Linked DNA regions of Rattus norvegicus. The protein of the gene in region 2 purifies or fractionates together with the protein of the main gene of each other region. This does not show direct contact. Links are inferred from orthologs where the notes say so. Each region holds a gene or a part of one and is shown on either strand. Other genes may lie near its edges.

What was found.
Region 1: the proteins of Nek7 (region 2) and Anks3 purify together in Homo sapiens (affinity purification with mass spectrometry; 3 studies listed by BioGRID and IntAct, with this or other methods). This does not show direct contact. The link is inferred for Rattus norvegicus from reciprocal best matches to the Homo sapiens genes NEK7 and ANKS3.
Region 3: the proteins of Nek7 (region 2) and Anks6 purify together in Homo sapiens (affinity purification with mass spectrometry; 3 studies listed by BioGRID and IntAct, with this or other methods). This does not show direct contact. The link is inferred for Rattus norvegicus from reciprocal best matches to the Homo sapiens genes NEK7 and ANKS6.
Region 4: the proteins of Nek7 (region 2) and Nlrp3 purify together in Homo sapiens (affinity purification with western blotting; 9 studies listed by BioGRID and IntAct, with this or other methods). This does not show direct contact. The link is inferred for Rattus norvegicus from reciprocal best matches to the Homo sapiens genes NEK7 and NLRP3.

The regions. Positions count from the first base shown.
Region 1 is NC_086028.1:11,126,532-11,134,440, reverse strand, and holds part of Anks3 (ankyrin repeat and SAM domain-containing protein 3), read right to left. Parts: intron 7,654-7,909; exon of another isoform or gene 7,638-7,653; coding exon of another isoform or gene 7,579-7,637; intron 7,361-7,578; coding exon 7,162-7,360; intron 6,975-7,161; coding exon 6,853-6,974; intron 6,849-6,852; exon of another isoform or gene 5,177-6,848; coding exon of another isoform or gene 5,175-5,176; intron 5,102-5,174; coding exon 5,020-5,101; intron 3,148-5,019; coding exon 3,012-3,147; intron 72-3,011; coding exon 1-71. UniProt on the Homo sapiens protein: May be involved in vasopressin signaling in the kidney.
Region 2 is NC_086031.1:52,696,452-52,704,973, reverse strand, and holds the start of Nek7 (serine/threonine-protein kinase Nek7), read left to right. Parts: upstream 1-4,150; 5' UTR 4,151-4,303; intron 4,304-8,522. UniProt on the Homo sapiens protein: Protein kinase which plays an important role in mitotic cell cycle progression. Required for microtubule nucleation activity of the centrosome, robust mitotic spindle formation and cytokinesis.
Region 3 is NC_086023.1:66,116,218-66,124,126, forward strand, and holds part of Anks6 (ankyrin repeat and SAM domain-containing protein 6), read right to left. Parts: intron 5,938-7,909; coding exon 5,784-5,937; intron 3,631-5,783; coding exon 3,440-3,630; intron 52-3,439; coding exon 1-51.
Region 4 is NC_086028.1:44,829,280-44,837,188, forward strand, and holds part of Nlrp3 (NACHT, LRR and PYD domains-containing protein 3), read left to right. Parts: intron 1-3,612; coding exon 3,613-3,726; intron 3,727-4,693; coding exon 4,694-6,449; intron 6,450-7,813; coding exon 7,814-7,909. UniProt on the Homo sapiens protein: Sensor component of the NLRP3 inflammasome, which mediates inflammasome activation in response to defects in membrane integrity, leading to secretion of inflammatory cytokines IL1B and IL18 and pyroptosis.

The DNA.
Region 1 (7,909 bases), on a different chromosome or scaffold from region 2:
CTTTCGACAGGGCCTCTGGCGCTGAGGAACAGGCCAGGACTCATCTGAAGAGCTCAGGTCTTCATAGTTTTCTAAAGGTCAGACATGAGAATTAAGACAGTTGGTTCAATAATAACTTCACTTGCCAACACTAAGCACTAAGGTCATGTGTCTGTGTATGCTTTTTGAAAAAATGACTCCCTACATAGGGTCAGGCAGGCCTTGAACTTACAGCAATCCTCCTGCCTTTCTATCCCTGATGCTGGGGTTATGTGTATATGCCACCATACTCAGTTTAATATGTTCTTAAGATTTCATCTTTAGTTGTGTGTGAGTGTGAAAATACAGGTGCCATGGAGCTAGAAAGAAGGCACTTAGATCCCTTGACGCTAGAATTACAGGTGTTTGTGCACATTGCCTTGGGGTGGGTGTGGGGAGGGGTGAGCTGAACTTTCTTCTGTAAAAGATGTACAGGTTCCCTGAGAGAGCAATAGGTAACTGACTCTTAAGTGCTACTGAGCCATCTCTCCAGCCAAACCACCTTAATAATATTGAATTAGAAAAATGTGTTGGGCTGGTGTATGGTAGTTCCCGCCATACCCTTAATTCAAGTATATGGGAGGTAGATCCTGTCTCAAGAAAAGTTTACCAAGACTGGACTCGAAACATTACAACTGGCAGGCCACTGCACTGAAACCTTCATTAATTCTTTTGGTTTTTTCCGTCCTTTTCATGACGGGTTTCTTTAACCCCGACTGTCCTGCAGACTCACTCTGTGGTCTAGGCTAGCCTCAAGCCCATAGTGACTCACCGGCCTCTGCCTCCCAGAGTGCTGGGATTTAAGGCGTGAGCCACCATCTGGCTTAACTTTCTTAACATGGTGAAAGGTACACACACTTTCCCAAGCTAGCCCCAGGCTGGGTTACAGTGTGAAGAAAGGATGTGCACAATGATTAGCGCCATCCTAGAAGCACTGGCAACTGGAGGAAATAAGATACAGAAGCATGCCAAGCAAAGGGTGAGCTCTGTCTGCAGACTGGACAAATGGAGAAGAAACTAACTTGACAAGATCAGTGTGGGAGTCCAGGGTCTCCTGCATGGACACACCAAGAATTGGAGCAAACCCTCAATCAGAAGTTAAAGAAAATAACTGTAGTGAACCCATATACAAAAGCAGAAAGGATGACAAACACTTCAGAATAAACTTAGCTATACACAAAATATATATCAGGAAAAATTTAATCCGTCCTCAACGTCCCAAAAGTATACTAAATATAAAACATGCCCTGTGTTCTTAGATGGACAGGTGACACCATAGAAACAGTGAATTTACACATTTCCTGTAGTCTCCTTGATATGTGCTCATTGTTTTTTTGAGACTGAGTCTGTGTTCCTAACTGGTTTTGAATTTGTATCCTTCTACTTTGCCTCTCAATCCAAAATTCTGAGATTGTAGCTGTACACCATCATATACACCTTTTCAACCCATCTTAATTAATCTTTTTCTTTTTTTAAAGATTTATTTATTTATTCCATGTATTTATTCCACTGTCACTGTCTTTGGACAGATCAGAAGAGGGCATTGGATCCTATTACAGATGGTTGTGAGCCACCATGTAGTTGCTAGGAATTGAACTCAGGTCCTTTGGAAGAGCAGTCAGTGCTCTTAACCACTGAGCCATCTCTCCAGCCCTCAACCATCTTAATTAAAACAACACCTTTTAAGGAGCCAAGTCAATCATGCTGGTCCAACTGTACATGTCAATCATGCTGGCCCAACTGTACATGTCAATCATGCTGGCCCAACTGTACATGTCAATCATGCTGGCCCAACTGTACATGTCCATCATCCTGGCCCAACTGTACATGTCCATCATCCTGGCCCAACTGTACATGTCAGTCATGCTGTCCCAACTGTATCGTTGAGGGCTGTCCTAGTGCTATTTGTATTCTGATGTTAATTCCACTTCCTCAGGGGTTGTCCCCATGACCAGTCGATCATGTACTTGATTTCCTGTGAACCTTCTCCCCATTTTAGCTGGTCGATAAAGGCTAGAGCCTGTGATTGAGCAGTGGAGGGGAAAGGTGGGACAGGAGATCTTTAAGAGTAGGGGCAGGTGGGGGTTGGGGATTTAGCTCAGTGGTAGAGCGCTTGCCTAGGAAGCGCAAGGCCCTGGGTTCAGTCCTCAGCTCCGAAAAAAAGAACCAAAAAAAAAAAAAAAAAAAAAGAGTGGGGGCAGGTGAAGAGAGGAGAATGAGAAGGGAGAGTACTGAAGAGGAGGAAGAAGAGGAGGAAGAGGAAGAGGAGAAGGAGGAAGAAGAGGAGGGAGAGGAGGTGGCCATGATGGAGCAGAACCATGTGGCTCAGAGAACCACAAATAGCAAAGGGTCTCCTGGCTGCAGAATAAGTTAGTATAGTGCTAGATCTGCACAATCTAGGCATGTGGCTGATAATTATAATAGCTGGATTGTGTGGTTTTTACATGGGCTTACTGGGGTTGGAAATTCCAGCAACACTGTGAACAATTGGAAAGGAGAAACAAGTATCACGGATCAGACATGTACACGTAAAAGATGAAAGCGTACAGGCTAGAAGGGTCATGGCCATCACAGCCCTGAGAAACACTGGTGAGGACTCAACATCCAGAGGCAAGAAAGGACACCTGCTCACATAAAGGTAAAAGTTACACAGCACGAGATTGTCAAAGTCAAGAACTAAAAGCCAGAGAGGCCTCTCTGTGAGTGAGGCATATCTCTTCCCCTTCTTCCTTAGGCTCCACAGCCTGTGCTGTGCGTGATATCAGTTGACAGACACTGTTCTCTGTGGGAAAGTCTGCATCTCTCTGGCCCTAGGCCTTGGACCCCAACCTCTGCTCCACAGTGGAACTGGTAAGAAAAGAAGGCCTCAGAGCAGGGCTGGTAGAGCCCAACCTGAGCAAAGGGATGGACTGGGGAGAGGCCCTCCTTGTCTCCTAGTTTCCTTACTGCTCAGGGCTGCCTCAACTCCATCAGGACACAGGCAGATCAGGTACCTGAGCTACGGTAGAGGCTCTTGGGCAGTACAGGTGAGTGAGTTTCCATCAAAGCCACAATCTTCATGTGACCATACTGCTTGGCTAGCATCCGGGCTGTGGCTCCACTGTGGTCTCTTGTGTCCACTTTGACTCCCTAAAAAGGTTCACAAAAGAAGAGTCAGAAATTCTTCCAGCTAAGTGGACTGCTGGTCCAGAGGGATGAGAAAACAAGGACATTTATGGTCAACTCCCCACCCCCTGTTTGAGATAACACTCGGGTGGAGGGGTAGGAGTGAAAAGGTCTGGTGACAACAAGCCCATCACCAAGAGCAGTCACCAAGCCATCTTGCAGCGGCAGCCACTCTCCCTCCTGAATACTGCCTGCCATAAGGCAAGGAGACACAAAAAACCTGGAACCTGCAACAGAGGCCCACCTTCACCCTCTACACCTACTATATCTGTCTCTTAGTAGAGAACCAAACAACCATTCAGCCCACCCCCAGAAAGAAGGCTCCATCCTCCCAAACTGAACTTATGTCTGTTGTCCCTGATTTTCTGAGACAGGATGTAGCCAAGAACAACCTTAACTTCCTGATTCTCCTGCCTCCACCTCCAACTATTGGTGTTTTGTTGAAACAGACAGGGTCTCACTGTGATTCTAGGCAGGCCTTGAGCTCACAATCCTCCTGCTAGAATAACCTAACGAGATTACAGTTTAGGTTTCCTGAGGTGGGAAGATCCTTATTCTGAACCTAATGCAATAGATTTCTCCTCTCAAAGTGTTCACAATACAGTCTAATATCATGGTGGCAGGCTGCCCAGCAAGGTTTTGAGGACAAATGACAAGGAATTTAGAAAATAAAAATTGGCCCAGAGTCTCTTCCAGGAGTTTAACTTGATAATTAAGGACTGACAGCGTAACTCCAAGTAACACTGCGGTTCAGAGGAACTTGCAGTAGGTGTCAGTGGGAGCAAATAAGATACCTCCCACCACTCCCCAGGGAGGAGTGGATGCAGTGCAGGAAGGACACCCAAAACCCGTGGAGAAAACACGCATTATGGGGTGGTGGCTCATGACTATAATCCTAGTACTTATAGTGGAAGCAGGAGTATCAGGAAGTCAAGGCCATTTACCACCTAGATAGTAGGTATGAGACCTGGTTGGGCTACATCTGATGCAAACTCCAGAAAGCAAAACAAAAGTAACAAACAGCAAACAGCAAAAGTAAATCCCAAAGCATGCACGCTGATTCCCCTTTGTGCTTAGGAAGACTCCTGCTGTAGACACTGTGTACAATTCTGTGTGGACACAGTTCTCAGTCCTACTGAGACAAGGGCTGACGCATGCTACAGTAATGCTAGCTGGGCCTAGAGTTACCAGACTGTGTCCTGACAAGCGATGCCACTTGGAAGTCTGCTGAGGTTCATGTTGGACACTGTCACTCATACTCCATCCCTCCCTTCTTGTCATTCTAGTCACACTGCCTGGTTGTCACAGGCCACAGGCCTGTAACTCAGCTACTCAGAAAGCTGAAGCAGAAGGATTAAAAGTTTACAGTCTTCCTGGGCTACACAAGTTCAAAGCCAATTTAGACAACTTACTATGAGCCTGTCTCAAAATAAAACATTTTTAAAAGGGCCGAGGATCTCTCTCAGCAATAGAGAGCTTACACAGCACATGCAAAGACCTGGGCTTAATCTCCAGCACCAGGAATAGAGTTAATGTGTTTTCAAAATCATTGTAAATACATAAATGTGGGTGTCTATTTTTACTCAGCACTGTATGTTTCAGTGAAAATGTACTGCCTACAAAGTAGCAAGATAGCTCAGTAGGTAAAACCACCTGCCATCAATCCTACGGTCTGAGTTCACGTCCCAGAAAACAGACTCCTACAGTCCTCTATTCCACATGTATACACGTGCATATATACAATATGCTAACTACACATGTAAAAGAAACCCCAGTTAGAGTTTATAGTTTCCCATTTGCTGTGAGTAAATTATAAGGTAGTAAATAGGTACTTACATGATTCAGAAAATACTGCACAATTATCTCATGGCCAGCGGCAGCTGCTTCCATCAAAGGAGTGAATCCATATACAGGTTCCCTGCAAGATGAAATCAGATAGATGGTTAGCAGAGAGAAGTTAGGCAATGAACAAAACAAGCCAAGATCCTTACATGCAAAGTAGGGGTGCAGGCTCAGGCCTAGGCTCTCGTGCTGTTACAACTGCTGGGGTATTGATCTTTGCCTTTCTACCTTGCTGGAGTCATGGTTTCTTGGTTGCTGGGTATCCCAGGCTAGCTGGCCTGTTAGCTTCTGGAGATTCAGTCTCTGCCCTCCTACTTCCTGTTGTGTGCTTGGCTTACAGACTACCCACATGACTGCATCCTACAGTTACAGTTGTCAGGCTTGCACAGCACTTCTGCCCACTAAGCCACCTCCCTAGTCTCCTTCATGACTTTCATGACATGAAGCTACTGTGGTCTGGTGCATGTTATGTAATGATCCCCCTTCACAGCAAGTACCAACTGAGCGCCACCTTAAGCTGGCACGGCAAATTCTGGCTCTTGGTACCCATGCTGGGAGACACGATATAATTCTGAATGACTCTAAAATAGAAATAAAATGCTACTAATTAAAATTCAACTTGTCTAATGATTCTAAGCTATATTCTAACTTGAGAGATGTTGAAAACTGTTTCTTACAATGGTTGAGAGACAGGTTTAGCATGACTCCTGGCTTCTATTTCAGCAGAGAATGAGGAACAGTGAAGGGGCTGTTTGAGAACACAGATGGGCTTAACAGAAACAGTTCATGGGCTGCTGAACCCAATAGATAAGACTTGGACAGTTGGGAAGAGACATCACCATCTGTGAGAAGTGAAGAGCAGTAGCTGCTTTAACACCAGCCTGTTCAGTTAGTATGTTTTAACACCAGCCTGTTCAGTTAGTATGTTTTAACACGAGCTTGTTCAGTTAGTATGTTTTAACATCTGCTTGTTCAGTTAGTATGTTTTAACATCTGCTTGTTCAGTTAGTATGTTTTAACATCTGCTTGTTCAGTTAGTATGTTTTAACATCTGCTTGTTCAGTTAGTATGTTTTTTGAGACAGGGTCTCTTCAGGTAGCATTGGCTGTCCATTGGCTGGAGCTCGCTGTGTAAACCAGGCTGGCCAGAAATCCTCCTCTGCCTTTTGGGTGCTGGGATTAAGGGTGTGCTCCACTATGCCTAGCAGAAGATGCTTTTTGAGCATGATTAAAGTGGGGATTTAGAATGAAGTGGGAATGGCTTTGAGGAAGGGAAGATGGACTATTAATGAAGCAGAGGAGTTACTAAATCTCATGTGGTCTTCGTGACTATTCCACCTCATCTCCTTGGTGTCCTTGTGTAGTGAGGGTGAGCGCGGGATGGGTGGGTGTGCACAGTGCAGAAGCTGGAAGTGGTGCTGTTTCTTGACAACCACCTACCTTTTTTTTTTTTTTTTATTGAGATGCTCTCTTACTACGACTTAGGGTTCACCAACTGGACTAGTGGACTGGGCTGGCATCTGCCTATTCTTCCTACTAGCCTTGTGGTTATAAGCATACACAACCACGGCAACATTTTTTCCTGTCCCTGGGGATCAAGCTGATGCCTGTGCAACAAACACCTTACCAACTGAACTGCCACCCCCCAGCCCAATCTCAACATCCCAGCAGTTCTAAGTGCACGAGAGCCTGGGCCTGAGCCTGCACACATGCTCTGCATGTAGGAATCTTGGCTTGGTTTGTTCATTGCCTAGCTCCTCTCTGCTAACCACCCATCTGATCTCAGAAACCCAGCCCACTCCTATGACCACGTGGCTGCAACAATCACCTCACGTTGGCATTGGCTCCACTCTCCAGAAGAAACTTGACCATCTGCTGGTGGCCGGCACTGGTGCAGTGAAAGAGTGCAGTCCAGCCCTGGATGTCTTTCATCTCAAGCTCTGCACCTTGCTTCAAAAGAATAGAATGTGGGTTATGCCCCAAGTCTCCAAAATATATAATCTGGGTGGGTGCCTGGGAAGCATCCACTGGACCTTCAGCTGACCTATGCGTATATGCACACTGTGGCCTGCAGCATCTCATATCCTGTCAGGGCAACCAGGGAGCACCTGGGGTTTTGGGCCCACTCACAGCTCACCTGGAGCAGGAAGTAGGCGATGCTCTCGTTACCACAGCTGGAGGCCAGCATCAGTGGAGTCTGTCCTTCTGGGGTTGGCACATTCACACTCACACCTGCCTCGAGCAGCAAGTGAACAATGGTATCGTGTCCAATGTAGGAGGCATACATCAGCGGAGTCCAGCCACCACCATTCTTCTTATTCAAATCTAACTCTCTCCTAAATAACACAAGTTATGCTAGATATAACCAGCATCTCACATGTGGCTTCGTCAGAGCCAGGTGCTAGGCCTGGTAGGACAAGCTGCCCTTCCAGAAGGCAGGAGTCACTTGCCTCGAGTCATCCCCAGGTAAGTGTTTCCACCCTGCTTCAGAGTCTTGTGATGGTTAATCGTGAGTGTCAACTTGACAGGGTCTGGAATCAACTAAAAGACATACCTTTGCACAGGTCTGAGGAATTTTCTAGACTGGGTAAAATGATGTGGGAAGCATTCCATGGGCTGTGGTTACAGACTAATAAGTAAATTTTAAAAAAGAAACAAACAAACAACAAACAGAAAGAAAAGGGGAAAAAAGTAAAAGTGACTGATATAACCCTTTTATTTTAATGCTCTCACCTGTCCAGTACCTCCTGGACAAGGCCAATAATCTTTTTTGTACCTACAGCAATACCAACCATGATCAAGCAGGGGAGTTAGGTAAGGTCTTGCCATTTCTCCCCAGTTATATTATCTAGGAAGTAGCCAGCTGTTGGCACATAGTAGATTAG
Region 2 (8,522 bases):
TTTTAACAAAGGGGTTGGAAAGAGGCAAACAGTATCGACTTTCACTCTTTTCAGTGAATGTGTTAGGGACAGGCCTTTGGAAATGTAACCCGAGGCAGGCCTCTCAATGCAGGTATGAGGAAGTCCTAAAGGTAAACAGAAGTACTTATTTGTCTTGCTTTCATTCCAGTCAGGAAATAGACCACTGCCCCCACTGTCCACACCTGAGCGGATCTGGCACATTCTAAAGCTGGAGTGGAGAACACGGAAGGAAATCTCCCAGAAGAGGTGGATGGAGATAAAGCACACCTCTTTGAAATCGTTTCCTCTAGACGTGTAAAATGACAGGATATTTATAACATCGTATTTCCAGATAGATACAAACGCATATGCTCACACCACCAAGAAACCTACAATTCAAAGTATCCTTGAGGTTCGATGACTTTATTCACAGTATAGATCCCGGTGCTTGCCAACTGTGGTGATGGCTGGAGGTGCCACACTACTGAGGAAATTGTATTTGTGAAATGACCTCACAGTTTGGCTCCACAGGAGAGGGTGGAACTTCTTAATATATTCCCTGCATTGTTCTTTTTGCATACTGGTCCTTTGACGTTTGTCAGAGCAAAGAAACAAGTTCGGTTGAATTCCAATGAGCAAAGAAATTGTAAAAAAAAAGAAAGAAAGAAAGAGAGAAAAAAAGAAAAAAGAAATCATGATATAAATACAAACAGCTGTTTGGACTGATTGCTTCCTGTTTTGCACAAGTATATCTCAGTGTCTTCTATTTAAGATATGTCTCAAAACATCTCTTCTGTTTCACAACTACTGCAAAAATAGCCATGGAAAAGCCACGGTCAGTATGTCCCTATTTTTAACCATGAACTATATCCCCTAGCTATCATAACTCAATAATTGGGAAACAGTAGCATTGTGTCTCTGCAATTCTGAATTCTAGGGATTTAGTGGGGGGATAAAATTAAGATGGATTTAGCTGTTTTTTTTTTTTAACAGAAGCGCATCTGCTAATAATCCACTAACGATTTCAAGGAGCCATTAGATGTGGAAAAGGAACTTGCTAATAATTTTCATGGGTGCTTTCAAAGCATCATAGTTACTCCCTGACACTGTACAGGGATGGCAAGCCAAGGCCAGAGAAAAGTGATCTCCCTTGGGCTGTCTGCAGTCTGTACTCTGACTTCCTCCTCTTGGCCCAGTTTAGTCCAGACATTTCAACAGCTTGACTAAGCCTCATCACCATTCAGCTGCCAAGCTTAGAGGCTGCCAGTCTCACTAGTAGCTTTTTAAGTACAGCTGTTACCAGTACTATGTTTGAGTCAAGAAGACCAGACCTTTCTGGTCTACCCCACTGGCCAGGTTCTCTCTCAAAGGAGAATTATTTTTAATATTACTTCATCATTCTTCTTCGGGGAAACATTTTTTTCCCCTCATAAGTTTCTTTCCTTATGGAGAAATTACATTTATGCCAGAACTGGTATGCAACATCTGTTTCGGGTTAGTTTATGGAGAGATGGTTTTGAGAATAAATACTGCTGATAATTTTTTTCTTACATGGGGCCAGCAGATATATATGGAAAAAAAAACCCTTAAAGATTTGGTTATGAACTGAGAGGTTTTAAGTATGATATATATCCAGATACCATTTATAACTGAGTCGATCTGATATGTAATATATGTGCTGTGTGGTAATTATGTATAAATACTGAGTTATTCCTACAAAGGCATATAATTAATGCAGAGCATGAAGCTCAAGCAGCATTTGGGGAGAAAGCTCAGAGGAGAGATGAACGGAAAAGCAGTTAAAGGTGCTTGTGAGTGTCCTGAGCCAGAGGAGTCTTCTCGGGCAGGCTTCTCTGTTTTCCCATTAGCATTTGCTCCAGGCCAGAAGGCTGGCTTCTGGCACCTGGGAATAACCTTGCCTACCCACAAGGAAGGTGATATAAATTTAGAAAGAAAAAGTACAGTGTCTTCTGTTTTGACCCTCTACCCAGTCTTTGCAACACTGTATACTATTTGTCTGTAGCCATGAAGCCTTTACAAGTAAAAAAAAAAAAAAAAAAAAAAAAAAAAAAGGACACATTACATTAGTTTCATAGTTAGGGCATCATATAACACCAAAAGGATTCTTCCTAGATAAAGGCTTTGCAGCCACTAAGGATGTGGGAGTGAACTTTTGCCCAATTTGACCCTCAGTGTTCATTAGGTATAGTGTTCGCTTCTCGTTGGACTACTTTGTATGTAGATAAATTGGTAGCGTGCTTAAACTGGGCCACCTGTCAATCCACATTTTTCCAAAATGGCAGTATCAAACAGAGTAAGAACAAGCTCTGAGCCATGCATCTGGTCCTAGGTTGAACTTTACCTTGTAAATGTCTTTGAGTTTTTCTGTATGCTATGCCTATGCATGGCAACTCAAGTGACATTGTTCCTATGGCTGCTTTGGCGTGATGTGACCATACAATATAGTTCAAATGCCAACTTATTGGCTTTATCCTATCTTCATCTCATATACCACATTCAATCCTCCACAAACCCCTTTGGCTCTGTCATGGACATGTATCTGAAGTCTGTCTGGTTTTGCTACTGTCTGGTATTGCTAGCATTCTGGTCTAAGCCTGATCGGAATGTTTCACAGAGACCATGAATTGTCTCTTTTTTTTAACTTCTAGTTGTGTTATCCTACAGTTCATTCTCCACAGTTCTGTTTTTCTTTCAACTTACTCCTGTAATGAATTTCCACTTTATTCAGAATAAAATATAAGAGTTCAAATTTCTACACCTGTCCCTTTTCTGGTAGCCCATCCCCCATTTCATCATCTTCTCCCCCTTGTTCGTTGGTTTGGATTCTATCTGCATTGACCTCCTGGCTGTTTCTCCAACATGGCGAACCCACGTCCACACAGGGTACCTTTGCATTTCCCGTGTAAAACCTTCTACTTCCTGAGTCGCATGCCACCTTTTCTCACTTCTTCAGGTCTCTGCTCAAATTCCAAGTGATTTTCCCCTGATAAACATACTTAAAGGAACATTCACACCCCAGCTTTATTTCTCTATGAAATAGATATAGACCCTCTCCTCCCAATCTAAGAACTCGCCTGGCAAACCTGTACAGCTTAAGCTCTTGAACCAACGCTACCTCTTGAAATTTAATTTTCTTTCTAAAATTAAAGTTTGCGTTTTTTCCTAATTCTATTTTACATACTTGCATTCGTATGTGCGCCACGCTGCAGTATGGATGTCAGAAAACAACTCGTGGGGACTCAGTTCTCTTCTATCACGTGGGTCCTGAGAATCAAACTCCTGGCCCTAACTTTCTAAATCCTACTTTCCATTGTTTGAACACATTTGAGCTATAATACCGTTTTTTGTTTGTTTGTTTGTTTTGTTTTGTTTTGTTTTTTGGCTCTACTACTACCCTTGGCAGGAAAATGAAACCAGAGAAAGACCTAGTGATACCGAATGATTAGAATATGTGCTCAAGCGTGCCGCTGTATCTCACCGGCTGTTTCTAAGGAGGCGTTAAAGCTGTTCTTCCGAGAAAGACCATAAGTTAAACAACTGCCACTGAATGATTAGAATATAGGCATGACAGACTCTATACTGCCTCCTAGCTGGCTGCCCCAGTAGTTCAAATCTGGTTAGTGGAACAGTAGGAATCAAAGCTTTGCTTTTCAACAGCTCCATGTACTAAGGAGAGAACCATATTGCAAATATGTGACGTGTAAATTAATTTATGTAATGTAATAATTTTTGTAATGCCACTTTGTAAGTGTGCCTGTATCTCAAAGATCCTGCATACCTAGTACCACCTAGTTCAACTTTCGGAAGCGTCCTGAAAGGCATTCCTAATGCTGGGACACTAAAGTCTAGATTTGTTTAGCCAGATTCCGGGAAGACTCTCGTTTGCTTTCACTGACACAGTGTAGAGGTAGCTGAAACCACTTGGTAAAAGAGAGTGGGATCAAAATACGCCGATTTGAAGGCAGGGGCCAACCGCAGAAAGGGAGGCACACCCCAGTTCTCAGGAAAGTGGCAGCGTGGGCTCCCGAGCAGGGTGCGGGCGCGGGGAGGGGCCTGCGGCGGCCCGCCCTCTCCTCGGGGATGCCGGGATGTTTACCCTCCTGACAGCCGCGGCAGCCGGAGGAGGAGCACAGCCGGGAGGATGGGCCGCTGCTAGGCTCGCAGTGGGAAGCGCCGGCCGATCAGGGTGGGAGCCGGCGCTTGCAGTGGCGCGGGCAGAGGCGATCGGCCCGGGATCGCGCAGCCCTGCAGCCCGCGTGGATCGAGCTGCCCGGGCGCCCTGGTGAGTATGCACGGCCCGGCCGGGTGGGGCCGGTGCGGGGAGCGGGCGGGCCGCGTGGGGCCTCGGACTCGCGTGCCTCTGAGGATCCGCCAGGCCGCCTACAACTGGTGGAGCGCGGTGCAGGCCGCTGGCTGCGGGAGCTCAGACCCCGGGCGCTTCGACCCCCGGGAAGCTCCAGCTCTGCGGTAGCGGCGGCAACAGGTCTCCGGGCTCGGACAGGAGGAACTCCAGTGAAGACCCGCCTCCGGGCAGAGCTCATTGGTCACCTTGGCTATTTACCGATCGCGGATTGGCTCAACCGATTAAGCTGCCGCCCAGTTTAGAAAAGTGAAGTTCACAGACTGTGAGTGGTCGGGTAGTCAGGTCGAGGACTGATTGAGACCGATTCAGGGCTAGGATGCAGCAAAGTATGAGCTGAGCTGAGTCACAGATGGGACGAAGGTGACGTTAGAGAGGCCATGGGGGGATGCTGCTGAGCAATGTCGGCTGCCTCCGCCTGGGGCGGAGACCCTCAAGAGATGCATTTATTGACACACATACTGTACTCGAATAGCCTAAGTCTCTGCCCGGGCTAGACACTAAGAATGTATTTACTTTAGAGTAAGATGTGTTTGTGCCCTTTACGATTCTGGTGATGGAACTGAATATAGTAAAACAATCTAGAGATGAAATGACTTTCCCCCTCTTTCTTTGAGACTACTAATCTTAAAGGTTGTAATAAAAAACAACCAGATGTCCGCAGCTAACAGAGTATTATTAGGACCACTCTTTAGTTTCTCCTCCAAGAAATCTGCAGTTCCCAGTAGACACGTTGTCTACAGCCTTTCACGGCGGTGTGCTTTGGTAGGCTGCCTTTCAGGATAACGTTCCGAATATGCATATTATAAACCTGTTCTCTTCTAGATGATGGGATGTTGTGATCCAAGAAAGACTTAGTACCCACACTCAAAAATTTGTAGTTTGGGACAACCGGACAAACTCTGAAAATGATGAATAAAAAAAAAATACAGCCTGCAGTGCTGTGTGGCATTTCTTGCTTGTATTCATGGCTGCAGTATTTCGTGATGGCCAGTGCACTTGGTTGAACTGGCTTGCAACCTAAGCAGTTATTTCATTTTCACAGCACTCTGCCATCACTCCGAGAGATCCGGTCCATAATTTGCTTTACATCCCAAACCGTTGCATCCTCTGTTTTGGCTGGTGGGGGGAAAACTTTACTTCTTAGAGAGGCAGAAAAGTGGATATGAGAGGAGGGCCTTCGGAGAAGAGTTCGGGGCCGGAATGGAGGGGAATCTGGACCCAGTGACCATGCAGTCCTCAGATTCCACTGCAAGGTGGGCGTCCCCGCCTTCAGGGCACTGACAGCCACTGCAGCCAATGAACAGCGAGGACACCCGGCCCTAGCTCAGGAGGGCGGGTACTTCCTACTGCTGCCCTGGACTAGGAGAGGGAGGCCAAGTTTCTTTGAGGATGTGGGCCTATGGAAAGAAGGGTTGAGAGGCTCAGTCTTGTATAAAAAACAGAGGAGAGGGGGCCTCTGGTTTTCTTTGCGCCCCTTGTTAACTTTCAGGATTCGGGCTCAGCTTGGAGTCACAGTTTCCACTGAAACCATTGTACATAAGAAACAAACCTGGTCAGCAAATTAAATATAGTCCGTGACTGACTGGGGCTTTTGCCCGAGATCATCTGAAACTGAAAACCAAGAACTATCAGAAGAAAATTCATTAGACACTTTTATGGCAGCGTGGCAGTTTTAATACGGTTAAGGCAGTTATCAGTTTAAAGAGTCAAGACTGCATTTTTTTCAGACCTATTTTGTAATCTGAACTACTAAAGTTTATTTATCTGGTTAATACCTGTCTCCCGCCATTCCTTTCCCACAAACGCCTTCTTCGGTGGACACTTAAGTTTCTTTCCAGCCTAATAAAACCGAAGAAAATCACCCCTGTTTATGATGGCTGCACTAGCAGAGGAGGGGAGCAGAGGCCGCTGACAAGCCTTTCTTTACTAAATTAAAACCCAGCATCTCAGTTTCAAATAAACCGAAGTGTACAGCACTTACACTCTGTAAAGATAAGTATTGCCAGGACTCCCCTCTCAATTCCAGACTTCTGATGATTGCAGTTGATGCCCCTCAGCCTTGACTTACTACAAACATTAAGTATTATGCATTTACTAAAAATAGAATAAAGTAAAATCCCAGTGATTTTACTTATTCTGTGATTAACAGTGATTCTGTTATTATAAGAATTTTTAGGGTAGCTATTCTCATTTTCACCTTTTTTTTTTTTTTCAAATACTTGATTAGTGTGTGGGCAGATATTTTACTTCACAATCTAAACCGTAGTACAGTAGCAAACTTACGGGTAGTTCTGAAGGTGTGGGAAATTTATAGTTTAGAACTATATGACCTGGGTGGTTATTATTTACTCCGAATTGCTTTATATGCAATTCTACAAATATTGTAACCTTTTTCTAAGAACCATTACTTTAAACTTTTGAAGTTGTTCCATTTTAATTCTTCCTCCTACAATTTATTTATTCATGGAGAGTATAGCCGATATAACATTGGATATATGATTATACCCAAGCATATGTGTTTGTGGAATATAATTTTATAATTTACACTTAAATTTTTTTCTTGGCGTAGGGTTTTACTCTGCTGGCCCGGAACTTACTTTGTGTATAGCTCAGGTTGGCTTTGAACTCATGCTCTCCTCCTGCCTCAGCTTCCCAAAGGCTGAGATTATAGGCATGAGTTACTGTCTTTGGCTGAGAATTTCGAAACTTATATAACTTACATAGCTGCAAAACTTTTAAACTGCTGATTTGTTTCCAACTGACAGTTTGGTGTCCCTATGGTGTTACCTATTTCTCAAAGTATTTTCTTCCTTTTAAAGAAAACAGCCTCCGTTATCGTTCATGGTTTTATGGTGAGGATTGGGAATGAGGGCAGATGCTAAGGAACATCTTTTCCCATTTTTGATCAGGATAAATGATTTTTTAACCTTTATTAAAAAAAAAAACACTTTGTCCTAATGTGTATATAATGACCAAATAAGATGAGCTTTACTGGGGTTAATAGCTAGCCGCAGTGTACACATGAGGAAAACTTACTGGTTTATAAAAGTGTACAGATGTCCGTTTTATATGACTCAGTGGAAGTCGTCCCTTTTGCATGTTACCTACCACAGCTCCTGAGTGGACAGTAGTTAAGAGCTACTTTTGAACTCCAGGCTGCTTATGTACAGATGGGTTCACTAGCCCTAAACAATATAATAAGTATTAATAAGTCATAATAAGTATTTTTGACTTCCTGGGCTGTATTGTCTCTGGGAGCTCCTGCTTTTATAGCCACAAACACTCCCCATATATGTGCATGTAGCTGTGCTCCAATAAAACTTTATTTATATAGAAGATAACATCAAAGGCCTACGCACGAGTTTTAAGCCATTGGGGTTTCCAGCAACAGTGCGCTGTGAAAGTTTTTATTCTTAGAACGTGTGTCTAACGTCCACTGAGCATTACCTGATTTTGCTTATTGGTGTTCATAACCACGTGAGCCACTTAGGTTGGTTATCCTGCTGTGAAGGGTAAGGGGATAAAAAAGTACTCATTAGACCAGAACAGACGTAGAGAAGATTTACTAGAGAAAATAATCTGCAAGAAGAGACAGAGGTGCAGGGGGCTAATACTCAGAATAGCTTCGAGAGGGGATGGGAGTTGTCTTTGCAGAGCTTTAGACAGCCTTGGCCTCTGGGGACCCCAGACTCATCCTGTGACATAGAAGCAGTGTGTGAGTGAGTGCTGTGTCCTGTTTCCTCCTTGGGAAACTCAGGTAAGAGGTGATGCCAGCCATTTATCCGCTCTTTTGTGCTCTTTAGTCAGTGATAGTCCTCATATGGGTGAGTTCTGACAGGCTTCATTCGTGAGTGCTCATTTTAGCTACTGTCCCTATGACTGTTACCGTTAGAGGGGCTTTTCGGCATGTGTGATTTGATGAGCCTTTTTAAAAATTGTTATTAACTTTTTAAAGAAGAATGAACGGAGGAGAATGAAAGTACATTCTCATGCGTCTGTAATCCTAGACAGGGTAAGCTGAGTTGCTGAGTTGGAGCAATGGGAGTGCCAGTGCAGCTTGGTCTGTGTAATATCTCAAACGACAAGCACGCCTACAACCGAACACCACCTCCAACTCCTTAAAAAAAGGGGGGGGGGA
Region 3 (7,909 bases), on a different chromosome or scaffold from region 2:
TTTAGAGGTAGCAGAAGTTCCAGAGGGAGGCCGTTTGCCAGGGTCCAGTTTCTGCACAGGGCATTAAAAAAAAAAGAAAATAGAAGCCATCAGTCAGTAGGACAGGGGATGAGGATGGATGCTGTATGTTGGGACATGGCGGTGCCCAGTCAACGGCACACCTAGCCAGGACTGTGATGCTGTATCACAGACTTAGACGCAGGGCAGCACGGACTGGTGGCCAGGAAGCCTGGGCTCACACTTAAACAACACTGCGCCTCCCATCTCTCCACAGAATTGAGCTTCTGGGATTTACCAGTGTTCCAGTTTTCAACCTACAGATTCTACACGTTTTACTAAATTTAAACACACTTCATTTTCATATAGTCTTACGTAAATGATATTTATAAAATGTCAAATTAAAAATTGTAATTGTTGGGGCTGGAGAGATGGCTCGGTGGTTAGGAGCACTGGCTGCTCTTCCAGAGGATCCAGGTTCAGTTCCCAGCACCCACATGGCAGCTCAGAACCATCACTAACCCTGGCGTCCCAATATTCTCTTCTGCCTTCTGGGCACCTATAAACACACGTGGTACAGATACAGATGCATGCAAAATGCTCACACACACAAAATAAAGCTAACTTTAAAAAAGTTCTAATTGTCTACTATTGGTATAAAGAAATGCAACTGACCTCATATATTGACCTTGTGTTCTCTGAGTGACAGCCCAGCCCAGAGTCTCTTATGCTGACCTTGCTAAAGTAGTTTATTAGCCATGAGTATCTGTAGAGATTCCGTTTGGTTTCCTATACGGACAGACATGCTGTCTAAGGGCAGAGCTAGGTTCCTTCCTTGGTGACACTGACTGCAGTCTCTAGCGCAGGCTGTGAGCTGTAAGCCCCTCTGTATTCCGGCATCCTGCTTCCCCATCAGGGAGTGCTTGGTCTTTGGCAACAGTGGTCCCGCTATACTTATTTCTCACCTAATTCGGGAAATCCCCTCCATAGCTGCTCTGTGTGCACCACAAACGTGCGAGGTGTCCTAGAAGGTCAGAAGAGGGCATCAGATCACCTGGGGCTGGAGTTACAGATGGCTCTGAGTCACCATGTGGGTGCTGACCTGGGTCCTCTGGGAGGACAGCCAGTGTTTTTAACCACTGAGCCATCTTTCCAGCCCCTGGATTCTGAATGTTAGACGCTTTTCCTGCATTTATTCGTTCATCTTTTATATGGTATGCCAAAGTCACTGATTTTTCTAATGCTGACTCTAACTCGCATAAGGAGCCCCTCAGTTGGAAGGGGTGTCCTTTTCACCCACCACTGGACTTGACTTGTGTGGAAGATTCCAGAGTTTAAGAGGATTATTGGGGCTACATTCTTTCTTGCAGTATCATAAAAATCCACCTTGCTCCCAATCTTAGGGGATAGAGAAACCCTATAGTGTAATACAGGGTCATTAAAACACATTAACCACCAAGCATACTACAGAACAGCTTTAATGTCAGCACTGGGGAGGCAGAGGCAGAGGCAGAAGGATCTCTGAGTTTGAGGCCAGCCTTGTCTACATAATGAGTTCCTGTCTCAAACCAACCAACCAAACCGTTTCAGTCCCAAGGGTGTATAGAACTTTAAGTGGGGAAGGAAGTGACAGACCTGAAGAGAGAACTTACCTGACTCTGTTACAGATGCTGTCACACCTCTAAGTGACTGATGAGAGTCAGCCAATCAGGATATGGAACACATGGACCAGCCCCCACCCCTATCCCCCACAACAGTCCCCAGAGTGACATTCACATAGCCCCTTTCCCAGAGGCAGCAAGAGGACAGATGCTTTTCTTAAGTGGCTATGGGATACTCACCAAGACAGGTCACACTCTAGGGCATAAAACAGACCCTGAAACACCTACAGGGGGGGAAACAGACCTACATACAGCAGAGCTGAGCTATGCCTCAGTAATAGGAAGACTCGGGAAAAGTCTCAAATGACTGAAAATTTAAAACAAAACCAGCCAACAGTGGGTCAGGAAAGAGGCTCAGATTCAGCTGCTGATGAAGGTTCGCAGCTAAGCACACGTGAGCTATAGCTCTGGGATGGAGAGAGAGGCTGAACCCTCCTTCAGAGATGAGGAGGTAGGTCCTCGCTCCCACTCACCCTTCCTGCCTTCCCATGATTGGGGTACAAGCCAGACTGGCCTCATGCATACCCCACCACAGCAGTGAGCTTCCTGCTTTAAAACAGAGGACAAAATCCAAATCTAGGAGGCTCCCGTTTTGAAAACTAATTTCTATTCTTCCTGAGGGAGCCATTGAAAAGCACTTCATGTCTTCTTACTAAGAGAGTCTGCGACGGAACGCCCATTTCAGTGTCCTCTGATTGGGGCAGTGGTTTCCAAGAGTTGCAGCTGAACCGGACTCTCTCGGGGGCAGGAACTGATTCCTTAGAACCTACCCTGAGAGTCAGGGGCAGCAGGAAGGTGTGGAGAGTTATCACTAGACCAAGCATCAGGAGACCTCGGAACTAGATCGTTCTCCACCGACTGTCTCTAGGACCTATCTTTTGGCACCTAACTTCTTTCACCAGGATATATTTGTATGTTGTTAAAGTTACCACGTGCAGCCCAGGGTGGTAACAGTTAACAGCTTACATGCCTGTCTCCAACATCAGTGACAGAAAGCTAAATGGTATTTAACGCAGTTAATGAAACCATCAGAATAGAACAGAACATTTTAGACAACAAAGGAGAAAACTATTTCAAAGCCCTCAGCTAGTAGACTCATTTTAATGAGTAGCTGGGAGTGGCCATATAGAAAATGTGAAAAGAGAAATACACTAATTATATAACTTTATATATCTTATAAAGAAAATGCATCAAGATCTCGGAGGAGTCTATAGCTGAACTCTAAAATAAACTTAATTATACAGGTCCCTCACATAAATAATTCTGAACATAACAGAAATAAACTCATGTGTTGGGGAGAAACTTCTGGAACTAAATTATAAAAGGAACTTAAATTATGAGGTTTCTCTGTGCAAGAGAGTTGGGGTAAGAAAGTTGTGGGGCCAGCAGAGGCTGTGCAGAAACGAACCATTTCTCACACATCTGCTAAGACAGACTCAGACCTGGGGGTGGGGGGGTGGGTTGCTCAGTGAGCTGCGGTTTAATCCAGCAGGCTGTCCCATCCCGTGTTAACCCTCTGCTCTCTACAGAGGACAGAACGGACACACGCAAGTGTGCACCTGAGCCCGTTCCAGTGCCTCCACCCCCACCTCCCACCCCTGACCCTGGAGAAGAGGTGGGTGAACATGGGACAACAGGGGCAGAGTCAGACCTGTGCAGGAAGTTAGGCGTGGCCATGACTGCAATGCCTGTGAGGTTACTCCCAACCCGACACCCCAGCGCTGCATGTGGGCCATGGGAGAACATTGTACAGGTGCCGCAGGCATCCTGAGAACAAGCACCTTGCTGCTGGAAGTAACATTGGAAGAGCCACTACCACTGCCCAGGAGGGAGGCTGGCAGCTCAGGTGGGCTGGAGCCGGTCGCTGGCCCCACAGGACTGGACTGCTGGCAGGGGGGCTTCTGCTCACACAGGCCAGCCGCTTTTTTCCTCTGAGCAGCGATCTGGGAGAGGACACTGTCTACGCTGCCACCTGAGGAGACAAGAGACAGGAGTGAGCATTGTGGCAAGTCCTTCCTGCCTCGTGGGGGACTGTGAGCTGTCTCAAGGTTCAGGCTTGTAAGAGTTCTACACAGGGCCCCAAAGGAGCTGCAGGAGGGCTGAGCGCCACAGTGAGAAGCAGGGTGACAAGAGCTGGCTTGTCTTCACTCCTTCAGGCCCAGCATGTGTAACTCCCTAATGCCATAGAACCTATGAGCACTGAGCTCTAGGCTTCTAACTGCACCCTAACTGCCATTTTCCCTCTCAGCTTCTCTGAGTATACTGTAACCTGGAGAGGGGTTGACTGACACATGGACACATACACATGCATGAGCAGACACACACACACGCACACACGCACACACGCACACCCTTACCCCCTGGGGCTGAGCCACTGGCAGGAGGTATTCATGGAACAGATGTACCTGCCAGCGCTCCACAGGGAACCGGAAGGTGGGATGTACTGACCGGCCGGATGTGGCGATGCAGAGAGTACTGGGAGGACTGAGGCAGAAGAACTGCAAGTTCAAGGCCTGCCTGAACAGCTTAGTGATAGCCGACCACGATAAAAATCGAAAAGTGAATGAGGGGTATAACACAACAGTAGCAAGCTTGTTAGGAACAAGCTAGCCAACAGCACTAACTTCTTTCAGAGGTGGGGGCCTGTTCTATTTTTTTCTTGTTTTATTTGTTTTTGTTTTGTTTTTCAAAACAGTGTTTCTCTCTGTAGCCCTGGCTGTCCTAGAACTTGCTCTGTAGATCAGGGTGGCCTAGGACGCAGAGATCTCCCTGCCCCTGCCCCTGCCCCTGCCCCTGCCCCTGCCCCTGCCCCTGCCCCCCCGTGTTGGACAGTGCTCCACCACCATCACTTCTGCCCGGCAACATTCATGTTTTTTAAAAGGCAAACAGCTGACTAAGCCTTGGAGCTCAGGCTACAGAGCTCACTGAGCAAACCTGAAGATATCTCCTGGGGGCAGCAAGATGACAAACCAAATGGTCCAAGCAATAAGAGGAGAACCAACTCCTACAAATGGTCCTCTGACCTCCACACTCAGGGCAAGTTACACATGCACCCACACAAATACTCATACATGAAATAAATTAGAAAACAGGTTTGTTTGTTTGTTTGTTTAAATTTTGGGAGACATTATTTGCATGAGCAAGAATATAGGACAGTCGTGGACAGAGCTCACTAAGAAGTGGCCACTCCAAGGGAGCTCTGAGAGTACTTAAAACCCTCCTGCCCTCACTCCATCCCCACTCCATCCCACCCTGCACAGCAGGGCTCTGAGCTGTATGAGCTCGGGGGAGTCGCTGGAGCCCAGCTCCCTCCCCTGGAGCATGCTGACAAGACAACAATGTAAAGGGATTATTCTGGGACCATTGAAATGGCTCAGCCTTGGGCCTGGCAGAGTGTTCAACAAATCATTCTGACTGTATAAATATTCATAATATGCACAAAATAAAACACTGTGCAAAGTCACAGCAAGATGTTAGTGATGAGTGAGCCCTCATGGGTGAGCTTATGCCCCCCCCCCCGCCCCTTTTGTCTTTTGGCTCATCTGGTCTTCACGTTTTCCTCCCAGACGCATGGACGCATGGACGTCTTCTGCAGTAGCTGCCATGGGTGGGGGCCCTCTCAAAGAGCCGTCTTTGTTTAGTCCTGGAGATCTTTGGGAGGACTTGTGAGTATGCCGTAGCCTAGAACCATGGGGCCCCCTGCTTTGACATTTCCTTGCCTCCAGCTTGCTGGGTAAGTCTGGGCCCATCTCTTGCCCAGTTGGAGCTTCAGAATCCTACTCTGTTCAACCAACGACAGAAGAGAAATTTCCCCAGGCTTAGCCTTCAATCAGTTTGTACATCATGAAAACCCTTGGCATTTTTCTCCATTTCTTATAACATTTTATAAGAAATAAGAAAAGCATTAGGGGCTTGACTTCTTCCTTCTCCCTCTAGCCTCATCTCGGGAAAATGAGCAAAGGCAACCCTGAATTGGTAGTTCATTAAAAAATCCCCAGCGGCACCAAGAAGGGGATGGCGTACAGCCATACAGCAGCCTCTGGTGTTGCATGTAGGCGGAGCAGGGGACAGGAGGGGACTGGCCAGGGACTCTCCCATTTTCTGGAGCGGCCTGTGACTGCTTACCTGAGCGGTTATGCAGCTCTCCCCCCAGCCTGCTCATGCTGCCCACGCCACTGGCACCCCCTGAAGAATGAGGCGAGTGGTTAAAGTTCCCGGAGCTGGCAGGGGACGTGGGGCTCCTGGAGATGCTGGGGAATTTGACTGGCCTGCCAGCAGCCTGTGAGTACAAGGTGAACCAGACAGTTAGGACAGGGCCTTTCTTCCTCACCACACAGCACAGTGGCGCAGGCGTGCCCGTCTCACTGACCCCCAGGGTCCCGTGGCAAAGAGCTTTTAATCCTATCTGCTAACAACCCATTAGCTCAGCCTGGGCCAGGGAGCACCACCCCGACACTGGCTGCTTGACTTCCATCTCTAAACCAGAGTGCCCTCCAGGAAGTGCTAAGGAAACCCCTTACGGAAAGCTGGGAAAGCCACAGTGTACCTCAGACAAGGCATGCAAGCTCACTCTAGCCACTGACTGTTGATCCACTGACTGACTCCTGCCGTCCTCTGCACTGTCCTCAGTCCTGGCCTGAGCACACTGGAAGCACTCAGAAGGAAGAAAGGCCACAACCGGCTGGATGGTGGCCTCAGACGGCAGGTGAGTGTCCTCAACCTATGAATACTGTCAAGGGCCACCACTCAGAGATACTTAGCAATGGTGTGCCTGTGCTAAGAACTTAAGGGGACAGAATCATAGAGCTGGAGAGACGGCTCAGAGGTTAGACACATTTGCTGCTCCTTCAGAGGACCCAGGTTTGGTTCCCGACACCCACATGGCGGCTCACGGTGGTCTGCAATTTTGGTTCCAGAGGATCTGATGTTCTTTTCTGGCCTGTGCAAACACTGTACACATGTGCAGGTAAAACACTCATAAACATACTAAAAATAAAATCTTCTAAAAAGAAAGAAAGGAGGGAGGGAGGGAGGGAGGGAGGAAGAGAGGGAAGAACAGAACAAGAACTTGCTTGGGTCACCTAGATGCTCCCTGAGTACACTCTCAGGCCTCCTTGGGACACAGGCAATTCTGACAAGAGAGACTGAAGAGCTGCAGCTACAACCCAGGGTGTGCCAAGAAGAGTCCACAGAAGTGTTATGTCCTTGGGAGAGATCCTCCTGCCTCTCCCATGAGCCTCTGCGGGACACAGCCCTACCCTCACATGCTTCAGCATACTTAGCACTGTAGAAAATATTCAGCCTGAGGTGAGCAGAGCAGTGAGGCCTCACCCCATCTCCCTCCTTCTTGGTGGCCTTCCCGGCTCCCAGAGCACACATTCGTCTCCTGGGTGCTCTGTGCCTGCTGTTCTATGCTCCACTAAGGAAGGGGTCAATGAGTATTTTCCGAGAGAATGGGACATGAGCACTGACATCCAGGCCCTTGGCATTAGTGACATTTTCTAGGAAAGGTAGCCATAGAAGGCATTGAGGGACGTCCTGCCTATCTGACTGTCCCACCTCACTTCACTTACCCAAGGTACCAGGATCCCATCTCTACCAGGACCTGAGAGTGCCCAGCCCTAGGATCAGTCCTGCCACACAGACGCAGTGGAAGTCCAGGTGTCTGCTGTCACTCAGCCACCAAAGCAGCAAGACCTGTCCTAAATCCTCATCTACAACCTACCCACTTACTCAACCACACTGAGGGCAGTCCACACACCCAAAGACACACACAAAGCTGGCAGCTCAGGGACCAGCCTGTCCTAAATCCTCATCTACAACCTACCCACTTACTCAACCACACTGAGGGCAGTCTACACACCCAAGGACACACACCAAGCTGGCAGCTCAGGGACCAGCCTGTCCTAAATCCTCATCTACAACCTACCCACTTACTCAACCACACTGAGGACAGTCTACACACCCAAAGACACAGACAAAGCTGGCAGCTCAGGAACCAGCCTGTCCTAAATCCTCATCTACAACCTACCCACTTACTCAACCACACTGAGGGCAGTCCACACACCCAAAGACACACACCACGCTGGCAGCTCAGGGACCAGCCAAAGGCTCCAGGTGAGAGATCTTACTGAGGTCAAAGGGACAGGTGTTTCCTCCCACAAAAGCACCAGGAGTACACACAGTGGCCCTCTAGTGTGTGTTCTTGATCACAGCCCTGAACAAGTCGAAGAGCCCCATTTCTGACCCAC
Region 4 (7,909 bases), on a different chromosome or scaffold from region 2:
TTATTCAACATCTTCCTTTCTTTGCTTTTGAGTTAGAGTCTCAAGGATCCCAGGCTGGCTCCAAACTCAATCCTCCTTCCTCTGCCTTCTAACTGCTGGGAGATGATGTCCTTTACTATACAGAAGTTAGCATGTTTGAAATGTTAATTTATTATCATCGGTTTTCCTTCTCCCCTGGTGAGGTATGAGAGGGTGGGAGGGAGCAGTGTGCTTTTTCTAATTCTGTAAAAGCTCCGGTCTTTGCTTTACTCCTGGGGGCCTGTTGTGGTTGGTATCACACTCTCCTTCCCCAACTGGCTCAGAGCAGATGCTTGTCTGCTCTAAACCAGGGAAACAGCAGAAAGGATTCAGAATAACCTGAGAAGTCCCAGGCATCCTCTGCCGAGTAGGAGCAGGGCGGAAGGAAGTAATCACAGGAGATAAGGATGCCTGGGGTGGTGTTATTCAGTAGTAGAATGCCTCCTTGTTATGTACAGAGACCTGGGGTCCATCCCTACAGCACTGGGCCAGTTGGAGTTGAGGAGGTGTGTGGCAAGGCAATGGTGACCCAGGAGAAAGAGATGGAGCTATGAGGCAATCCAATTGCCTGTCATTGTTCCTGTACCGAGAATGGGTACAAGAGGAATGAAGAGTTAATCTCAGCAATAGAAGCCCTGACTGAGCAATTTTAGATCTTTTTCAAATTAAAACGTTAAACCTTTCAGCTATTTATTTTGTGTGCTTGTATGTGTGTGCTAATGTGTGTGCACATGTGGAGGTCAGAGGACAATTTGTAGGGTTTGGTTCTTTTTACCGTGTAGGTCTTGGGGATTAAGCTGTTACTCCCTGAACTGGCTCTTTCTGGCTCTATACTAGGTAGTTGGTTTTGTTTGTTTGTTTTTTGTAAGATTTATTTTGGACTGGATGTAGTAGTACAGGCCTTTATTTCCAGTACTTGAGAGGCAGAAGCAGGTGGATTTATTCAAGTTCGAGGCCAGCCTGGTCTACAGAGCAAGTTCCAGGACAATCAGGACTATGTAATAAAGAGATCAGGTCTCAAAGAAAATCCAAAAAGCAAAACCCAGAAAGCAACACAAATTTTACTTTATATGTAGGAGCGTTCTCCTGCATGTCTATGTGTGCACCATGTATTGGCAACTGAAGAGGCTAGAAGAGGGTATCGTATTCCCTGGAACTGGAGCCACCATGTGGGTGCTGGGAACTGAATCCAGGTCCTCTGGAAGAGCAACAAGTGCTCTTAATCACTGAGCCACCGCTCCAGGAGCCCTGTACAAGGTGGCTTCAGTGGGTTTTGTTTTTCTTTCAATAACCCCATGACATAGTTCCTAGTACTGTTGGTGCTTTCAGGTGAAGGACGAGAGACAGGGCGTGGTTCTAATTACCCAAGGCTCTCCCGTCAGGGCCAGCCAGAGTAAGAGCAAAAGGCCAGGCGAGACTATAAAAGTATAGCCATGTGATGTTGGCTTTTATATCTAGATTTTAGGCATAAAAATTGTCATCAATATTTGATGTTCTTTTGGGGGTTGAAGTGAGATATTATGGGAGAATTGGGCAGAGGTTTGGGGTTGCATGAGTGTTTAGATTTTTGTTTTGTGATTCCATTACCAGTGGTGCTCTCTCCTCTCCTCTCCTCTCCTCTCCTCTCCTCTCCTCTCCTCTCCTCTCCTCTCCCCTCCCCTCTTCTCCCATCCCCTCCCCTCCCCTCCTCTCCCCTCCCCTCCCCTCTCTTCTTCCTCCTCTTTTGTCCATCCTTCTTTAGATCTCACATATCCCAGGCTGGCCTCAAGCTCACTGAGTGGCTGAGGATGACCTTGAACTCCTGATCCTCCTGCCTTCACTTCCTGGGTGCTAAGTATGTGTACTAACACCCCACCTGGCTTATATGCATGCTAGGAAGATATTCTACATCCCTGACATTATCTTCCAGAATAATTCTACATCCACAGGAGTATGTCCGTGTCTTTGATCTGCTTTGTGTGCTTTGTGTGGGAACTTTTGTTATATTCCTAAATTTCCCCTAGGAGGAAAGTCTATACCATTGGGATTCATAGCTCTTGGCTGTAGGTTCCCATTGGCATCACCTTGGCCTTTTCCATGGGTAATAATGCCTAAGCCTCAGCACAGAGTAGAAAGAACTCCTTTGAGTAGGGTATTACCCAGCATTTTCAGACCTCTCCATGTGAGTTCAGTAAGCCATGGTTCTGAACTACTTAACTGACTGACAGTGTTCACTTGTGAAGACCTGGAAATCTAGACAGGACAGCACAGGAAATGACCCTCATGGGTTTCATACGTCCAGCTGAGCTCAGGGGAGGGTGAACCTGTCAGGAGAGCATTGTGACTCTTGCACATAGACCCTAAGTTAAGGTGCCAGAGACAGCCAGGGACAGGTGACAACGGCAAAGGAAACACCGTTTGATCTCATCTGTTCTCTAACGGATTTCTGGGCCTGGGAAAGACATTCTGAGCTTGGGGACGCAGTTCTGTCTAATGATTGACAGCTTCCCTTTGAAAGCGAGGTGAGCGGGGTTGGGGATTTAGCTCAGTGGTAGAGCCCTTGCCTAGGAAGCGCAAGGCCCTGGGTTCGGTCCCCAGCTCCAAAAAAAAGAACAAAAAAAAAAAAAAAAAAAAAAAAAGAAAGCGAGGTGAGCAGAATCATGCCTACTAGGCTTTCAATGCCATAGCTATCAAGATCTGCAGCTCTTGAGCCATGCTTACTCCCCTATCCCCCTACCTTTTTTTCTTTTTTTTTCCTCTTTGAGATGTGACCTCATGTAGCCCAGGCTGGCTTTGAACTCATTGCGTAGCTGAGGATGACTCTGAGGTACTGATTTTCCTGCCTCCATCTCCCAAGTGCTGAGCTTAGAGGGATCTGTTCTCATGCCTGGCTAAGCCACATTTAATTCAGAAGGAATAGGGAGTAGGGGGGCCTTTGACCTACCCCAAAGACTAGACTCCATTCTATCCTTTGTGTTAGGACATTTTATGTATTTTGTGTTCCTGTAAAATTGTAAAAAAGCTTTCTTTTACTCCACACTAGATCCAGCACCTCAGTGCCCCAAGATATTTGGTAGACATCTTCATCTCAGTCAGCAAAGCGTCTTACCCGCTCTGCTCCATCCCATATCACACTGCTGATGGCTACTCTCTGAGCCTGGCAGCAATCTCTCTACCCATCTAGTTTTCAAAGCAGGTTGCCACCATGCCAGAAATATACATCCCAATTCCGTGGCAGCCTAGTGTCTTTGGCCACCACATACTCTCTTAAACTTAAATCACCACAAGAAAGAACACACAACACAATAACCTCTGATCCAATTGATAAGGTATAATTGCCCACCTAAACATACAAAGCCCTGTACACATCCATCCCTTAAGAATATTCATAACAACCTGTAAATGTGCAGAGAGGAATCTCAACATCTGCCTCCATGTTCTCTCCGCTGCTTCTCCTGACTCCTCCAGTCTCCTCCTCTCTCTAAATCTTTTCTCCCGCCCATCCTTCCTTCTCATCCAATGACAGGCCTCGTTCTATCCTGTACCTGCCTTCACCTGTATGACATCCTACAACTTTGTGTTTGTTTTTTTTTTGTTGTTGTTGTTGTTGTTTAGATGATGCATGCACGTCTAATCTCTCCATGGTGTGCCAGGAAGACAGCCTTGAAGAGGAGTGGATAGGTTTGCTGGGATATCTCTCCCGCATCTCGATTTGTAAAAAAAAGAAAGGTATGCATCAACCTGCTGTTCTCAACTTTGTTTTGAGACTTGGGACAGGGGACTAAGGAACTAGAAAGCAGAGACACTTGGCCACTCTACAGGGAAGGAGGCCTGCCTCAGGAACTCCACCTTCACTGAAGAAGCAGATGCACATTTTCATGCCTTCCTTCCTAAAGTCCTGGGGAAAGGGTTTACTGCAAGCAGATATGGGCTTCAGACTAAAGGTATAAAGGCTTGAATAACATTTTCTGGCTGGAGGCTGCAGTGCTGACTTTCTGCCCTATCGTGAGTGGGAAGTGATTGACACCAGAATTTTGGGGACCTGATAACACTTGAGCAATAGGGACAAATTACACCTCCTATTTTTCTTGTATTTTTGGTTGTGAGCCTAGCCTTTAACAAACTAAGGCCCCGTCCATCTGAACCACCTATTTTTCTAAGCCAGTCCTTCCTTTCTCTAGAGCATAAGCCACTGGCTTTCCTTCTAGGCACGTGGCCATGCCTCTGTACAAATTCAGAAAACAGTAATAGATATAATGAGAGATCCCTGGAGAGCACATTGCCACCGGGGCTTATGGACTGCAAGCACATAGGCTTCAAACCAATCACAGAATGGTTGGCTGTTGCCATAACAGTTGCACCACCGCTGCATCAAGGACTACACCTCGCTGTGTACAGTTGAACGTTTGGCGAGCACGTTGCTCTCTATCTAGTTGGCAGTCAGCACTCTGCATTTTGTCATTGTTCTCGAATCCTCATAATTCTTTTTTTTTTTTTTTGGTTCTTTTTTTCGGAGCTGGGGACCGAACCCAGGTAAGCGCTTCCTAGGTAAGCGCTCTACCACTGAGCTAAATCCCCAGCCCCAATCATAATTCTTAATGTTCCTCCTGTAACAGCACAGGCCTGCTGACCGCTTATTGTTGGGGAATAGATGTGTGGGCTCTTCCTGGATTCTGCCTTTCTGTCTCTGCTGCAGATTACTGTAAGATATACAGAAGGCATGTGAGAAGCAGGTTCTACTCCATCAAAGACAGGAATGCACGTCTAGGTGAGAGCGTGGACCTCAACAGACGCTACACCCAGCTCCAACTGGTCAAGGAGCATCCAAGCAAGCAGGAAAGGGAGCATGAACTCTTGACCATTGGCAGGACTAAGATGTGGGACAGGCCCATGAGCTCCCTTAAGCTGGAGCTGCTCTTTGAGCCTGAGGATGAACACTTGGAGCCCGTGCACACAGTGGTGTTCCAGGGAGCAGCAGGCATCGGAAAAACAATCCTAGCCAGGAAGATTATGTTGGACTGGGCCTTGGGGAAGCTCTTCAAAGACAAATTTGATTATTTGTTCTTTATCCACTGTCGAGAGGTGAGCCTCAGGGCACCAAAGAGCCTAGCAGATCTCATTATCAGCTGCTGGCCTGACCCAAACCCACCAGTCTGCAAGATCCTGTGCAAGCCTTCCAGGATCCTCTTCCTCATGGACGGCTTTGATGAGCTGCAGGGGGCCTTTGATGAGCACATCGAGGAGGTCTGCACAGACTGGCAGAAGGCTGTGAGGGGAGACATTCTGCTAAGCAGCCTCATCCGAAAGAAGTTGCTGCCTAAGGCCTCTCTGCTTATTACGACGAGGCCAGTAGCCTTGGAGAAGCTGCAGCATCTCCTGGACCACCCCCGCCACGTGGAGATCCTAGGTTTCTCTGAGGCCAAACGGAAGGAGTATTTCTTTAAGTATTTCTCAAACGAGCTGCAGGCCAGGGAGGCCTTCAGGCTGATCCAAGAGAATGAGATCCTGTTTACTATGTGCTTCATCCCCCTGGTCTGCTGGATTGTGTGCACAGGGCTAAAGCAGCAGATGGAGACTGGAAAGAGCTTGGCCCAGACCTCCAAGACCACGACTGCCGTCTATGTCTTTTTCCTTTCCAGCCTGCTGCAGTCCCGGGGGGGCATTGAGGAGCACCTCTTCTCTGCCTACCTGCCAGGGCTCTGTTCATTGGCTGCGGATGGAATTTGGAACCAGAAGATCCTATTTGAAGAGTGTGATCTGCGGAAACACGGCCTGCAGAAGACCGACGTCTCTGCTTTCCTGAGAATGAACGTGTTCCAGAAGGAGGTGGACTGCGAGAGATTTTACAGCTTCAGCCACATGACTTTCCAGGAGTTCTTTGCGGCTATGTACTATCTGCTAGAAGAGGAGGAAGAGGGGGTGACCGTGAGGAAGGGACCAGAAGGCTGTTCAGACCTTCTGAACCGAGACGTGAAGGTCCTATTAGAAAATTACGGCAAGTTCGAAAAAGGCTATCTGATTTTTGTTGTACGCTTCCTCTTTGGCCTTGTAAACCAGGAGAGAACTTCTTATTTGGAGAAGAAGCTAAGTTGCAAGATCTCTCAGCAAGTCAGACTGGAGCTGCTGAAGTGGATCGAAGTGAAAGCCAAGGCCAAGAAGCTGCAGAGGCAGCCCAGCCAGCTGGAACTGTTCTACTGCTTGTACGAGATGCAGGAGGAAGACTTTGTGCAGAGCGCCATGGGCCACTTCCCCAAAATTGAGATCAACCTCTCTACCAGAATGGACCACGTGGTTTCTTCCTTTTGCATTAAGAATTGCCATAGGGTAAAAACACTTTCCCTGGGATTTCTCCACAACTCACCCAAGGAGGAAGAAGAAGAGAAAAGAGGAAGTCAACCCTTGGACCAGGTCCAGTGTGTTTTCCCAGACCCTCATGTTGCCTGTTCTTCCAGGTAAGGAAATTTGGCTTCAGGCAGATAGTAGCTGTAACTTTTGCTTTCTGGCTACTTTTCTTGGTCCGTCCATCAGTCCTTCCTTCCTTCTTTCCTCTCCTCTATTTCCAATTATTTTACAAATATAATTGGCGAGCTTCGTGATAACGTGACTGCCACCCTTTTGCTGAGAGCGGCTTACGCTAGGTAGATGAATGGGATGAAAACAAAACCCAATAAACTAAGAAATAAGCATCTGGGGAGAATATGGCTTCGGCGCACAGTATGGGGCACGTTGTGGCATCGCGTGGCTATGTCTGTAGACACCCACTGCTTGTACTTTAGCTTACATCTAGCACACTGGCTGTTCCTCAACCCACGCTGCTATATGGATGCCCTGGACTAGGTTATTTTTGATTTGAAAGGCATATGTATTACAGTTGTGGAGGATGGGAGGTGTAAAGACAGGGTCCCACAGGCTGGATTTACCTGGCAGAAGGAAGAAAAGCAGCTCCACAGGTCTCCCTTGCACAAGATGCTAAGATTCTCTACGAGGCCCTGCCAGCATGGTCAAGCATCCTCCTCCTGATCCCGTCCTTCTGAGACGAGGGTGTCTATCTGTTTTTTTAAGGGTAGGGTGAACATGCAGACTGTGCCAGTGGGAGAGGGGAAGAGAGAGGAGGTAAGGGAAGGCAGACTTGCTACTTCAGGGCCTAATACAAGGTGGAGAGAGGATGAAAGGCCTGATAAGGACTGCACTCTGATGAGGAAGGGCAGGGACTCTGCTACAGCCATCGAGAAGAGAGCTCTTACTTCAGGCAACGGCCATTTCCCTCACACCATAGAGGTTTATCACAGAACCTTCCAAGAGGACAAGCTAAGCGCATATCCCCCATCAGAGGTCCAGAGTCAAAAACCCAGACCTGCATCTATACAAAGAAACTGCTCTTTTTTTTAAAGCTAGGGTTTCATGTAGTCCAGGCTAGCCTTGAACTTGAACTCAATTCTGTAACTGAGAATGACCTTGAACTCTTTATCTTCTAGCCTCTGTGTTCTGAGTACTAGGATTAAGGGCATTGACAAACATGCGCTGTTGTTATGTAGTGTTAGGGGCCAAATCCAGGGCCTCAGATAGTCAAGCCTCTACCCCTGAGCTACGTCCAGTCCTGAAGGCTCTCTGCATTATAATAACTGCTACGGGGTATTCCAATGGGACTCCCTGGAAATGACTATTGTTGCTTCTCTCCTCTGGAAAGAACAGTGGATCTGTGACTGGTGGCTTAACACTTAGGAGACAGTTAGGTGCCAGGACCCCTGTCCTGAGCTCTGGTTTGTTGTTATTGGGAAATAATGTTCTCTTCTGGCCTCCTCCCTTGCCATTCTAGACTGGTGAACTGCTGCCTCACCTCTAGCTTCTGCCGAGGTCTCTTCTCAAGTCTCAGCACCAACCAGAGCCTCACTGAACTGGACCTCAGTGACAA